3 linked regions of the Canis lupus familiaris genome follow. The main gene of each other region encodes a partner of the protein of the gene in region 3 in a complex. Links are inferred from orthologs where the notes say so. Each region holds a gene or a part of one and is shown on either strand. Other genes may lie near its edges.

Region 1 (4,287 bases), on a different chromosome or scaffold from region 3:
ACACGTAGTTGTACCGCGAGAAGGGAGAATCAGGCGATGAGTAGGACGGGGATGATGGCGGAGCGTCAGAGGTTCCTCAGTTTACCTTTCGCGACACAACTTCCAGGTGTTTTGCGTTGAACCAACCAACCAACCAACCAACCAACCAACCAACCAACAAAAACGCCCCATCGGAGATGTCAGGAAACCTTCTCCTTCCGTCACTTCACCTCACCTCACCTCCCCTCCCCTCACCTCACCTCCCCTCACCTGACGTCTCGTTAGCTCCCGAGCAGCGCTTCCCGCTCAGGCCGCCTCAGGCCTGCGAGCGGCAAACGGCGCCGCGTCCGGCAGGAACACCGGGTGAGGAGGGTTCGCCGGCCTCCTCCGCAGCATGGCTCTGTGGACGTGGACGTGTGACGCCCCGCCAGTCCCCCCAGCTCCGCCGGCCGCTCGAGCCAAGAAAAGAGAGTAAAAAAGCGATAAGGGCAAAGGAGAAGACGGGTGAGCGCCCTGGCAGCCACGCGCGCAGGCGCGCCACGGCCCGCGGCGGGACCGGGGACCGGGGACCGGGGGGCGGGGCCGAGGCGCGGCGCTGGAGCTCCGCCCCCTCCCCGCCCCGCCCCTCCCCTCCCCTCCCTCCCTCCCTCCCTCCTCTCCCCTCCCCCTCCCGCTCGCGCTCCCGCTCGCGCTCGCGCAGGGGAGTGTCTGAGCGCCGCCAGCCCCTCCACGTCAATCAACCCTCCTCCTCCTCCTCCTCCTCCTCCTCCTCCTCCTCCTCCTCCTCGCACTCTCCGCACCTTGTTATTAATCCCAATTCCGACCTCGCGCGGACGCCTCTCCCCGGCCCTCGGGGTTGTGAACGTGGGAGCGGGAGCGAAGGCACCGAAGGCACCGGAGCCTGGCGTCCCCGAGCGGCGGCGGCGGCAGCCTCGGGCCCGGCAGCGGCAGGCGCAGCAGCAAGCCCCGCGGCGGCAGCAGCCCCGGCGCCCGGAGGCCAAGGCCAAGGCCGGGCTCCGCGCCGCCCTCGGAGTAGCAGCCGCGGCGTGGGAGGGAGCTCGCTGCGGCGCTGGGCCGTCGCGTCGGGGGCCGCGGCCGCGGGGCCTCTCCTGGGCGCCCGGGGTCACCGTCCCGCCCCCCGCCCCCCGCCCGCCTGCCCGCTCCCGTCGGCCGCCCTCTCCGCCGCCGCCCCTGCCGTCCCTCAGGCGGCCCGGCCCGGCCCGCCCGCCCCGCGTCCCCTCCGGCCGGTGCCTCTCCCCCCGGCGGGCTGCCTGCATGTCTTTGCTGCCCTCAGCCCCGCCGCCACCGCCGCCGCCGCCTCCCCCGCCGCCGCAGCCCCAGCACCAGCAGCAGCCGCCCCGCCGCCGCCGCCGCCGCCGCCGCCCGGACCCCGGCGCGCTGAATGCAGGTGAGGGGGGGCGCGGGCCCTGCCGGTGGCGGCGGCGGCGCTGCGCGGCGCGGCGCGGCGGGGCGGGCGGGAGCGAGGCCCGCCCGTGGGTGTTTGTGTTTGCGTCTGCGGCCGCGGCCCGGAGGGAAGCATCTGTGGGGCCGGGCGCGCGCGCCGCCGTGTCTCCCCTGCCGCGGGGAAATGGCTGCTGTTGCTCCGCCTGGGCCGGAGGAAGAGAATGAGGTAGAGTGTCTGCGCCTCGGAGGAGGGTCGATGTGGGGGACACGGAAGCGTCCCCGGGAGGTGAGGTGGGAGAGCGACGAGCGTGCGTGAGGCTGTGCGAGGTGAGGCTGTGGCGGGCGGGGAGGCGGCCCGGGGACCCGGGGCCAGTGGGCGTGTGTGGGGCCGGCGCTGGCGGCCCCGGGGTGCGGGGCGGGTTCCGTGTGTCCGGGACCCCCGAGGGGCGCCCCTCCCCCGCCCCCCCGTTCCCCTCCCCCCTCTGTGGGCGCCGCGCGGGTGAAGCTGCTCGGCCGCGGCGGGCCCCGACCGGGCCGGGCCGGACCGGGGACGCGAGTGTGTGCGCCGCCCGCGCGCGGCAGCCCAGGCCGGCTGAGCTGCGGGTCGGGGCCGCGCCGCTGCTCCCGGGCCCGGCAGGAAGCGCGCCGGCCTGCAGCGCGGCCTAACCGCCTCGGCGCCCGCCCGCCCGCCTCCCGGACGCCTCCCGGACGCCTCCCGGACGCCTCCCGGACGCCCCGGCCCGCGAGCACCCGGGGCGCTGCCTCGGGCCTGGGCAGGTGAGGAGGGTCGGAGGCGGGACGCGCGCACCGCCGTCGCCTCGGCCGCCTCCGCGTCTGCTGAGGAGAGAGGCGAAGGCTTATTTTGGCTCTGGAGCTGCAGGCTCTGCCCCTCCGGGCGGCGGGACCCGAGGGAAAGAGACTCAGAGCGGTGAATCTCGGGAACACTGGCTGCGGATGGAGATCCCTTCGCCCCGTCCCTCCGCGAAGGCCCGGTGGACGGACTGTGTACACGTTTTCAGTTTTCGTCGCACATATTTTCTCGTGGGGGACATGAGTGCGATTTTTAAGATAAATTTTTTTTTTTTTCCCCCCCCGAGACGCGAGGGAAGAAATGGAAGCTGGCTTTCCTGTCCTGCGGTGTTGGTGGCATTGGATCGATTTTGTGCGTTTGAAATCGTTTTATCCTGCCTCCTAGGGGAAAGGCGTGCACACGCGGAACTGAGGAGGTTGGTGAGGAAGAGGAAGTTACTGTAGCTGTCATCGTCCCTAACTCGGCCTAGTTATCTTAGGCTGTTGAGATGGATTGTGTTCAGGGAGTTTAGCTGAGCCGTTTGTACACGTTGGAAGCACAGTATTACATTTTACTGCCTTACTGCTTCTACTTATCTATATTGCCGATCAGGATAGTCACGTACAAACAAACACGTCTCATGCACAATCTCCAAAACCTAGGTCAAGGAGCCTTTATGTTGTCTACCCAGGGTGTGTGTGTGCTCCGGGGAAGCTATTTTTGAGAGTGGTCTAAGCAAAGCGGAACTATGAAGATAAATCTGCCAATAGGTGTGCAGTGCGTTGTAGACCCAAATATAAATGGTATTTGAATGATTTATTTGCTTTACTCCGCCCTCCTTCCGTTTGCATTTCGTAAGCTCATCTAGCTGAGACCCTGTGGATGAAGTCCTGATACAGATTTGATCCTTGCAGACCATGCTCTGTATGATGGCCGGGTAGCCCTGTTTCTAAAACTGGTCTCACAAATGTTCCAGGCCGTGCACTGGGAACAAGAGTGGAGGGAAGAATAGGAGTGGAGAGCTGTTTTCTGGGACCACTGCTGGAAAAACAACATGTGTAGTTGAGTGGAAAAAGGACTTGTTTTACCTCAGAACTCTGGCTGTGCCATTTTTCTTAGCTGTTTGACCTTAGCAAGTTACCGAATGTCTGTAAGTCTCTGTTTTTTTTTTTTTTTTTTTTTTCCATTTGTAACGAGGAGATACCTTTATAGTAAGGTTGTCCTGAGGGTGGAATGAAAAAACATGTTTGGCACATAGTAGAGGCTTAGTTAAATATTCCTCCCGCAGCCCTGATTGTGGGCATTGAAAAACATGTGTAAGGACAAATACCCATTTGATAACTGAGAGCAATATTGTGTAATTGTAGGTTAAAAATCAAGGCAGTAGAACATTTCAGAGTCCTTTGATAATATATAAGGTATATATAAACTTTTAATGTTTTTTATGTCTTTCCTAGAAATAAGACTGTCATTAAAGTGGCCTAGTATATTAGTTTATAGAGACTGTCTAGTCATACTTTTTTTCCTCTGTATTTTTGAATAGGCCATCTCTCAGTTTTACTACTTTTATGATTCTGGCTATGTAGTCCTGGAAAAAATTGTACTGTATATAGCACATATACATTCCAATACAATCAAGCATTAAAATGGATCAAGAAACGAGAGTTTAGATTACTTTAACAGATTCATAAAGCATAAGTGCCAAAAAATTGCTATGTAATTCTTTGAGTTCATGTTGACTGATTTGGTAAACAAAAACTTCTTGGAATACATTCTTGGATGGTTTAGGGAAAAATCCTCAATCAACTTTGAATAGTTTTCCATTTTTATTACTCTCTGTGGAGTAGTGAATGTGCTGTTCATTTATTTTTAATTGTGGTGGAGAAAAAAAAATGATGATACAGAGTTTAAGGTAAAGGCAATGGAAAGGTTAAAGAAGGATTTTTTTTTCTTTTCTATCTTTTTAAAAATTATTTTGGTGAAGGCAGGATGAAGAGAATGTGAGGAGTTTCATTGGGTTAAGTTTGTAGTATGTCCATTTACTAAAGCCAGGTTTCCAAATTAGGCCTTATTTTTATTTATATCAGCAATGGTAAGCTTAAAAAAAAAAGACA
Region 2 (3,987 bases), on a different chromosome or scaffold from region 3:
AGGTGGACGGACGGCCATCCTTTCCCCATGCATGCCCCTCTAAAGAACGTTTGTTGGACGTCTCTCTCGGCCTAGACGGGGAACTTACTAGGGCCAGGGTGGGGCCGGATTCCTCTGTACAGTCTGGCTCCAGCACGGGGTCTCAGCCACCTGTCAGGAACGTGCCCCGAAGCAAGCACCATGCCCAGTGATCTCTGCTCGCCTTCCTCGCCACCTAAGGACAACAGCTTGATTTCTTTTTAAAAATATTTTATTTATTTATTCATGAGACAGAGACAGAGACAGAGAGAGAGAGGGGCAAGGGACAGGGGCAGCGGGAGAAGCAGGCTCCACGCAGGGAGCCCGACGTGGACTCGATCCCGGGGCTCCAGCATCACGGCCCGGGCTGCAGGCGGCGCTAACCCGCTGCGCCCCCCGGGCTGCCCGACAGCTCGGTTTCCGAAGGCAGACCTCGGGCTGGGGCTCTGGCTGGGACCCCTCCACCACAGCCTACTTACTGTACTGCGCGGCCCTGAATGGGCCGAAACGGGGCACGAGTTCATTTTTTCCTGCCCGTTCGAGGCAAGCAGCAGGCGGCTGCTCAGGACCGGAGGCCTCCTCGGGCAGGCCACGGCGGCGGCTGAAGTCAGGTCGCGGGCCGCCCCGCATTCCCACCAACGGACAGCGGAACGAGGGGAAGGAGGCGAGGAAACGGTGGGAAGACAGCACACAAAAGTGGACAGCCCGAGACCAGACCAGAAAGAGAGGACGGACGGCAAAACGGAGGGCAGTGGCGGGAGAGAGCAGGGACCCAGCGGGACAGAACACCGCGCGGGGCGGGAGCGGGCGGGAGCGGGCGGGAGCGGGCGGGAGCGGGGCCCCGGAGAGTGCCGGGCCGGCCCATCGCCGCGCAGCGCGGAGGGGCGCCGGGGGGCGGGGCTTGGGGAGCGACCCCCCCGCCGCACGGCGAATGGTCGCGCCCGGCAGCGGCGGCCAATGGGCGGCCGGGATGTTGGAGCGGCGGCGGCGGTCGGGGTGCTCGCTGGCTGGGGGACGGGGCCGCCGCCATGATGCTTGTTTGCTTTCAATGAAAACGAGGGGGGCGCGAAGGAGGCGGCGGCGGCGGCGGTGGAGGCGGCGTCGGCGGCGCGGAGGCGAGGGCGGCAGCGGGCGCAGCGCGGAGGGCGAGGCGGGAGGCCGAGAGGGCGGGAGGGCGTAGCGGTGGCCCGTCGGGGCGGCTGACGCGGTGGCGCTCGAAGGGGGAACAAAGAGCGGCGGCTGAGGCGGCGGCGGAGCGGCGGCGGCGCTGCAGCAGCGGGCGGGACTGGTATGGTGGTTCCACAGGTCAGACCCCGCTGCACTCACAGGGAGGAGGCGGCGGCAGCGGCGGAGGAAGGCGGCGCACCCCGAGAGGTGAGCACGGCGGGCCCGAGGCCCGGCCGGGCGCGCTCCCCGCACTGGCTGCGCGCGGGGCCCGCTCGGTCGCGGCGCGCGGGGCCACGGCGCGGGCGGTTTGAGTTGTGAGGCTGGCGAGCCCGCGGCTCGGCCGAAGCGGCGGCTGTCGGGGGCCTCCGAAGTGCGGCCGTGCTGATCCGGCCGGCTCCCAGGCCGCGCCCCCGCGCCCAGCCCGGGGGGCGGGGGGTGCTGATTGACGGCGGGGCGGGGCGGGGCGCGGGCGGGGCGCGGGCGGGGGCGGGGCGCGCCGGGGGCGGGGGCGGGGGCGGGGCGCGGGCGGCGAGCCGGGTGTCCGCGCCTCTCGGCCGGGATGGGTGGCAACTCTGGCGGAGTGGCCGTGTGGGATTGTGCGTCGTGGAGTGTGGAGCTTCGCGGTTACCGCAACGCGGTAAACCAGCGGTTGACCCCCTACCCCGAAAGTCTTTCGAATTCATCTGAACGCAGACTGGGGGGAAGTGGGCGGGAGTGACGGGGACCTGATTCAGAGGCCCTTACTTAGCCCCCGACGGAGAGATTCCTGGTATCGCTCAGAACTTACTGGAAGCAGTTTCCTCCCGTAACCCCAACCGCATGTCTCCCTTTTTATTTCTAAACACCAGTCGTTATTTTCTTTGGAAACTTTTTCTCTTTGACACTTTTCTCCCTCCCTTTCCCCCCAGAGAGCCTGCTAAGGAACACCTGTGATCTTTTCTTTAACTGTTCCCGCAGATGACAGCATTGTGCAGGTACCCTTGCTTGACCCATCTTGCGTGTACTGTGTTGAGCTGAGGTAATTTAAATAATCTGCTTGACTTTGAGTTCCCATACTTACTGTTTTCTAGGTGCGTTGTCTCATTAGTGCTAGTATGGAATTTCTTACATTCTTGTGTCTGGAAATTTCATTTTAGGGAGGAAGAGAGGGAGTATGAACTAGTGAAAAATAAAACGGCGGGTAATGGCACTGATTGTTTTTCACCGGACGCTAGGGTTTGCCATTCCAGAACAGTTCTGCAGGCTTTCCGGGCTGATGTGGTCATAGATCAAAAGGTTTTGAAGATTTTCTTTGTAATTGCTGTCAGAACAGTTGTCACAGTCTTCAGAATGTGATGTCTGTTAGAGTTAAAATTGCTTCATATTTTTTTGACCAGTGATCTAGTCTAGTCAACATGCTTTAAACAAAATATTTGAAAAGCTATGACTGTGGAAACAGACCTAGAAAGGTTCAAGTGACGTGGCCAACGTGCTTGCAGTGAAGAGGGAAAGCACATGAGTCTATGTGGTATTTGCTGGAGATTAGTTCTTTTGGGAGGGCAGAAGGTGTTTTAATGGGTAGAAATTATTTGTGGTAGTTGTGTCTCTTCAGTTTGCAGTTAAACAAGATACTAAAGTAGTCAAAACAAGAATGGAATAGAAGACAAGTTTTCTTGTGAGACTGAGAAGATTTGCTCTGAGAGTTGATACGTGCATAGTTTCAGAAGTGTCTCAGTGGTAATGTTGATGAAGAAGCCCTTTGTTTTTTTTTTTTTAATTTTTTTTTTTTATTTATTTATGATAGTCACATCAGAGAGAGAGAGAGAGGCAGAGACACAGGCAGAGGGAGAAGCAGGCAGGCTCCATGCACCGGGAGCCCGACGTGGGATTCGATCCCGGGTCTCCAGGATCGCGCCCTGGGCCAAAGGCAGGCGCTAAACCGCTGCACCCCCCAGGGATCCCTGAAGAAGCCCTTTGAATACATACTTGGTTTGTAGGTGTTTTCAGGTTTCTTAAATCTTGGTGGCAAATTGAACCTACAATTTTTGTGAAATTTCAGACTGTTTTTTTTTTTTTTTTTTTTTTAAATTTCAGACTGTTAAGTTGATTATAGAACTTGGTCCTTGCTGCAGATAAAGGCATTAAAGGAATTTGCCCACTGTACTTGTAGTGATAAATTCACATTTCGGTCAGTGCTTAGGCATTCCACTAGGTACATGTTAACCTTCTTACGTTGTTTGAAGCATAAGCGTTTTTCATATCCTAGTGCAATGAAAGGCATAATGTATGTAAGGCATACTGGAATAAATGGTCAGTGGTGCTCACAGCTGTAGACCTTGGGTCATAAGGGCAAGAGACCAATATTTGCACACTGGCAACTTCCCCATATGCAGAGTAGACTGGTTGGGAAGCCCTTCCTTTTTTTCTTTTTTTAAGATTTTATTTATTTATTCTTGAGAAACACATAGAGTCAGAGACATAGACAGAGGGAGAAGCAGACTCCCTGTGGACTCCATCCCAGGATCAACCACTGAGCTACTCATGAGCCCCTGAGAAGCTCTGCTTTTAAAGTGTTTATCGCTTTGGAAAGGTCCAAATAGGTTCAGCTAAGGACATGTATTTTAATGCAGAAAAGGCTTGGATTTGTAGGTATGCAGTGCTTGTATACGCTTTATTGTTGTGAATGGAACTTAACGTTATTGTCTAGAAAAATGTTCCAATTTCAGTGTTAATCCTTAGCTTCCATCTTGATGTACTTGTTTCCTTAAACTTGGCTGCTACTCACTTTACCAAGGTAGCCATTTTACAACAAAGTGTGATTAA
Region 3 (2,774 bases):
CTTATGCATTCTCTGCTCAAGCCTTTCCCCTTCGGTGAAGACTCCCACCCACTTCCTTCAGGGTCTTCATTCCGGTTCAGTCCTTGGATTGAGCTACCTCTGAGTGCTTGCTTCTTCCCCCTTCACTACATTCTTAACAGCATTATTGTCTTCACCAGATTTAGTCCAAGAATAACCACATCTTTTTTATCAATATTATTGTTTCTAGAGAATAATTTAAAGGACAAAGTCTGCTTATGCTCCCCACCCCCCATCTCAAGTGACCACACCACTATTCCTTGGAGCACTAGTTCCTCAGTGCCTTATGGAAAAAGGTTCTACAGTCACATTTCTTTTGGAAATTCATACTATATAGGTAGCATAGTATCCCTTTATCTGAACATGGAATTCCTATCCCACAGAATCCTTTGGAGAATACCAGCTTTCCTTTACAAGATTCTAATATGCCACCATGCCTTCTGTCTGGGTCTCTATCACCAGGTTCCTAAATGTACCATACTAATCCCAGATTCCAAGATTTTTCCTCCTAGCATCCACTAGGTTATAAGGAACACTTCTAGGTTCCAGTTCAAGGCTTTTCCCATATTTTCATTTATACTGCTTCTTGTAAACCCCTCATTTTACCATTTAGCTATATATAGTGTACTATTTACTTACTAAACTATACCTCCTTCTCAGATATACCATCTTGCGTATAGCACTTAGGCATAATCGGGGTTTAGTAAATGTTACTTATGAGAGCTTGAAGACCATTAACTGAATTATGATTCAACCGAGGACACACAGAAATGTTTTTAAAAAAATGAGTAATTACCATGTGTAATGCTAAGTATAGACTTAAAAATGGAAATCCCCTTTATTAACAAGCAGAATGGCTCAGGCTCATTTACATAAATATGTTTACAACTAGGTAACTGATCCTAAGTTAGAAATAAGTAACCATAAAATATAATTAACAGTGTTTAACAGCCCTAACTTTTTAACTTTATGAAACAGACTAACTACTGCTGTTGATCTACCTCCTGAATTTATTCATCTTTATATATCAAATTGCATCTCTACTTGTGAACAAATTAAGGACAAATACATGCAGGTAAGTAACAGAAATTTTTGTAATTGTAAATTTTATAAATACCTGCCAAGAAAATGGATACACTAAAACTGGCTTTCTTTTTTTCAGAATCGTTTGGTTCGTCTTGTGTGTGTCTTTCTCCAGTCCTTGATCCGAAACAAAATTATTAATGTGCAGGACTTGTTTATAGAAGTGCAGGCATTCTGTATTGAATTCAGTAGGATACGAGAAGCTGCTGGCCTTTTCCGGTTGTTGAAGACATTGGATACTGGAGAAACACCTTCTGAGACCAAAATGTCAAAATAATACCTCATCAGAACCACCACGTTCCTTGTTCAGCTGTATTGTGACTTAATTTTTAAAAACTGTTAGAACCTTGAGTGGATTGCTTGGCCTAATGCATATAAACACCACTTTATCTACTTAAAGCAAAATTTTCCTTTCCTGGATGACTCACTCCTGGAGATGGATTTTTGGTAAGAACTTGGAAGTGTCTTACTGATGATTAGGAGTAAAGGTTATCCAAAAAATTCCTGCAAGACAGTAGATAAGGTCTTTAGCACTGTAGAGCAATGTTAAAACACAAGTTATAGGCTACCAATAAATCAAGAATCCAGTTTTCTTAAGGTTCTTATATTAAAGTATTTAATGAAAGTAAATGAAGACATTCTTAAGAATTTGTCATACTGCCCTTGAGGTGAAATCAGCTGAATGTTTTGGAATCAAGTGGCAAATAGAAGTTTGGTCCTTCAACCCATTTATGCATATAGTCCCCTATTTCTCATTAAGCACAGTCTGAACCAAGGACATGCTTCTAACAATCCTTTCTTGTCATGGGGACTTATTAGACAACAAAAGACATGCATTTCTTGGACCTCTTACAAACATGGGAACTCTTAGAAACCTTCTTTTAAGACTACAATAGTTGATATGGTTTTCTGGGGTTTTTTCCCCTTAAGATGTTTGTTCTTCAGTTATCAGTCTAAGATAGTTACTTTTTTGTTTTAAGGAAAACTATTAGTCCATGCTTTGGGAGATAGTATCACCACTGAGGAACTGTCATGTCAAATCTCTTCCTGAGTGGGAACTGTACCTGCTGCCTGTGATGGGGCAGATGGCATCGTGTGGGCTGTTATCCCTCATTTAACTTTGGACAACAGTGCCTTACATTAAAGTTTTTTATGAACTATATTATCTGATGTGTATTTTTTTACTTGAAGAAAATGAAAAATTAGTTTACTGAGGTTACTTTCAAAGCATATTCTTTCTAGGGAAATAATCAATTCAACAGGAGTTACCTTCCAGTTTAGCCCTCAGCAAAAGTTAAAGGGAAACCAAGCCTAGTGATTTTAAGAGGAACATAAATAAGTTCTAATCTTACAATATTGGCAAAACAGCAGTACTCTTAGTTCTTATGAAAGTAAGAGATTTGTAAATAACTTGCTTAAAGGAAATAACCCAAGCCAGTGTAACAGAGGAATGCCTTTAAACATACAAAATGCTAGCAACAACCTTGATTTCTCTCCATACCTAAAAGTAGACATCACTGTTTTACATACTTGGTTTGGGAAAAGAAACCGTTCATTATGCAGATACTTTTTTGGAATGGCGGAGTTGGGACCACTGTTGGAAGCAACCCAAACTCAGCTCCGGGACCTACTGATTCTCTGACAACCTCAAATTCATGGCCAACAGCACTGTA

What was found. Proteins that work in one complex are often made in the same cells at the same time.
Region 1: CNOT11 (region 3) and CNOT6L share a complex: the UniProt entries of both Homo sapiens proteins name them as parts of the CCR4-NOT complex. The link is inferred for Canis lupus familiaris from reciprocal best matches to the Homo sapiens genes CNOT11 and CNOT6L.
Region 2: CNOT11 (region 3) and CNOT6 share a complex: the UniProt entries of both Homo sapiens proteins name them as parts of the CCR4-NOT complex. The link is inferred for Canis lupus familiaris from reciprocal best matches to the Homo sapiens genes CNOT11 and CNOT6.

What each region holds. Positions count from the first base shown.
Region 1 is NC_049253.1:37,892,086-37,896,372, forward strand, and holds the start of CNOT6L (CCR4-NOT transcription complex subunit 6-like), read left to right. Parts: upstream 1-1,486; 5' UTR 1,487-1,604; coding exon 1,605-1,609; intron 1,610-1,650; exon of another isoform or gene 1,651-1,669; intron 1,670-1,682; exon of another isoform or gene 1,683-1,710; intron 1,711-2,587; exon of another isoform or gene 2,588-2,609; intron 2,610-4,287. UniProt on the Homo sapiens protein: Has 3'-5' poly(A) exoribonuclease activity for synthetic poly(A) RNA substrate.
Region 2 is NC_049232.1:1,536,554-1,540,540, reverse strand, and holds the start of CNOT6 (CCR4-NOT transcription complex subunit 6), read left to right. Parts: upstream 1-1,186; 5' UTR 1,187-1,392; exon of another isoform or gene 1,393-1,461; intron 1,462-2,093; exon of another isoform or gene 2,094-2,203; intron 2,204-3,029; exon of another isoform or gene 3,030-3,157; intron 3,158-3,987. UniProt on the Homo sapiens protein: Poly(A) nuclease with 3'-5' RNase activity.
Region 3 is NC_049231.1:42,707,140-42,709,913, reverse strand, and holds the end of CNOT11 (CCR4-NOT transcription complex subunit 11), read left to right. Parts: intron 1-996; coding exon 997-1,093; intron 1,094-1,180; coding exon 1,181-1,378; 3' UTR 1,379-2,263; downstream 2,264-2,774. UniProt on the Homo sapiens protein: Component of the CCR4-NOT complex which is one of the major cellular mRNA deadenylases and is linked to various cellular processes including bulk mRNA degradation, miRNA-mediated repression, translational repression during translational initiation and general transcription regulation.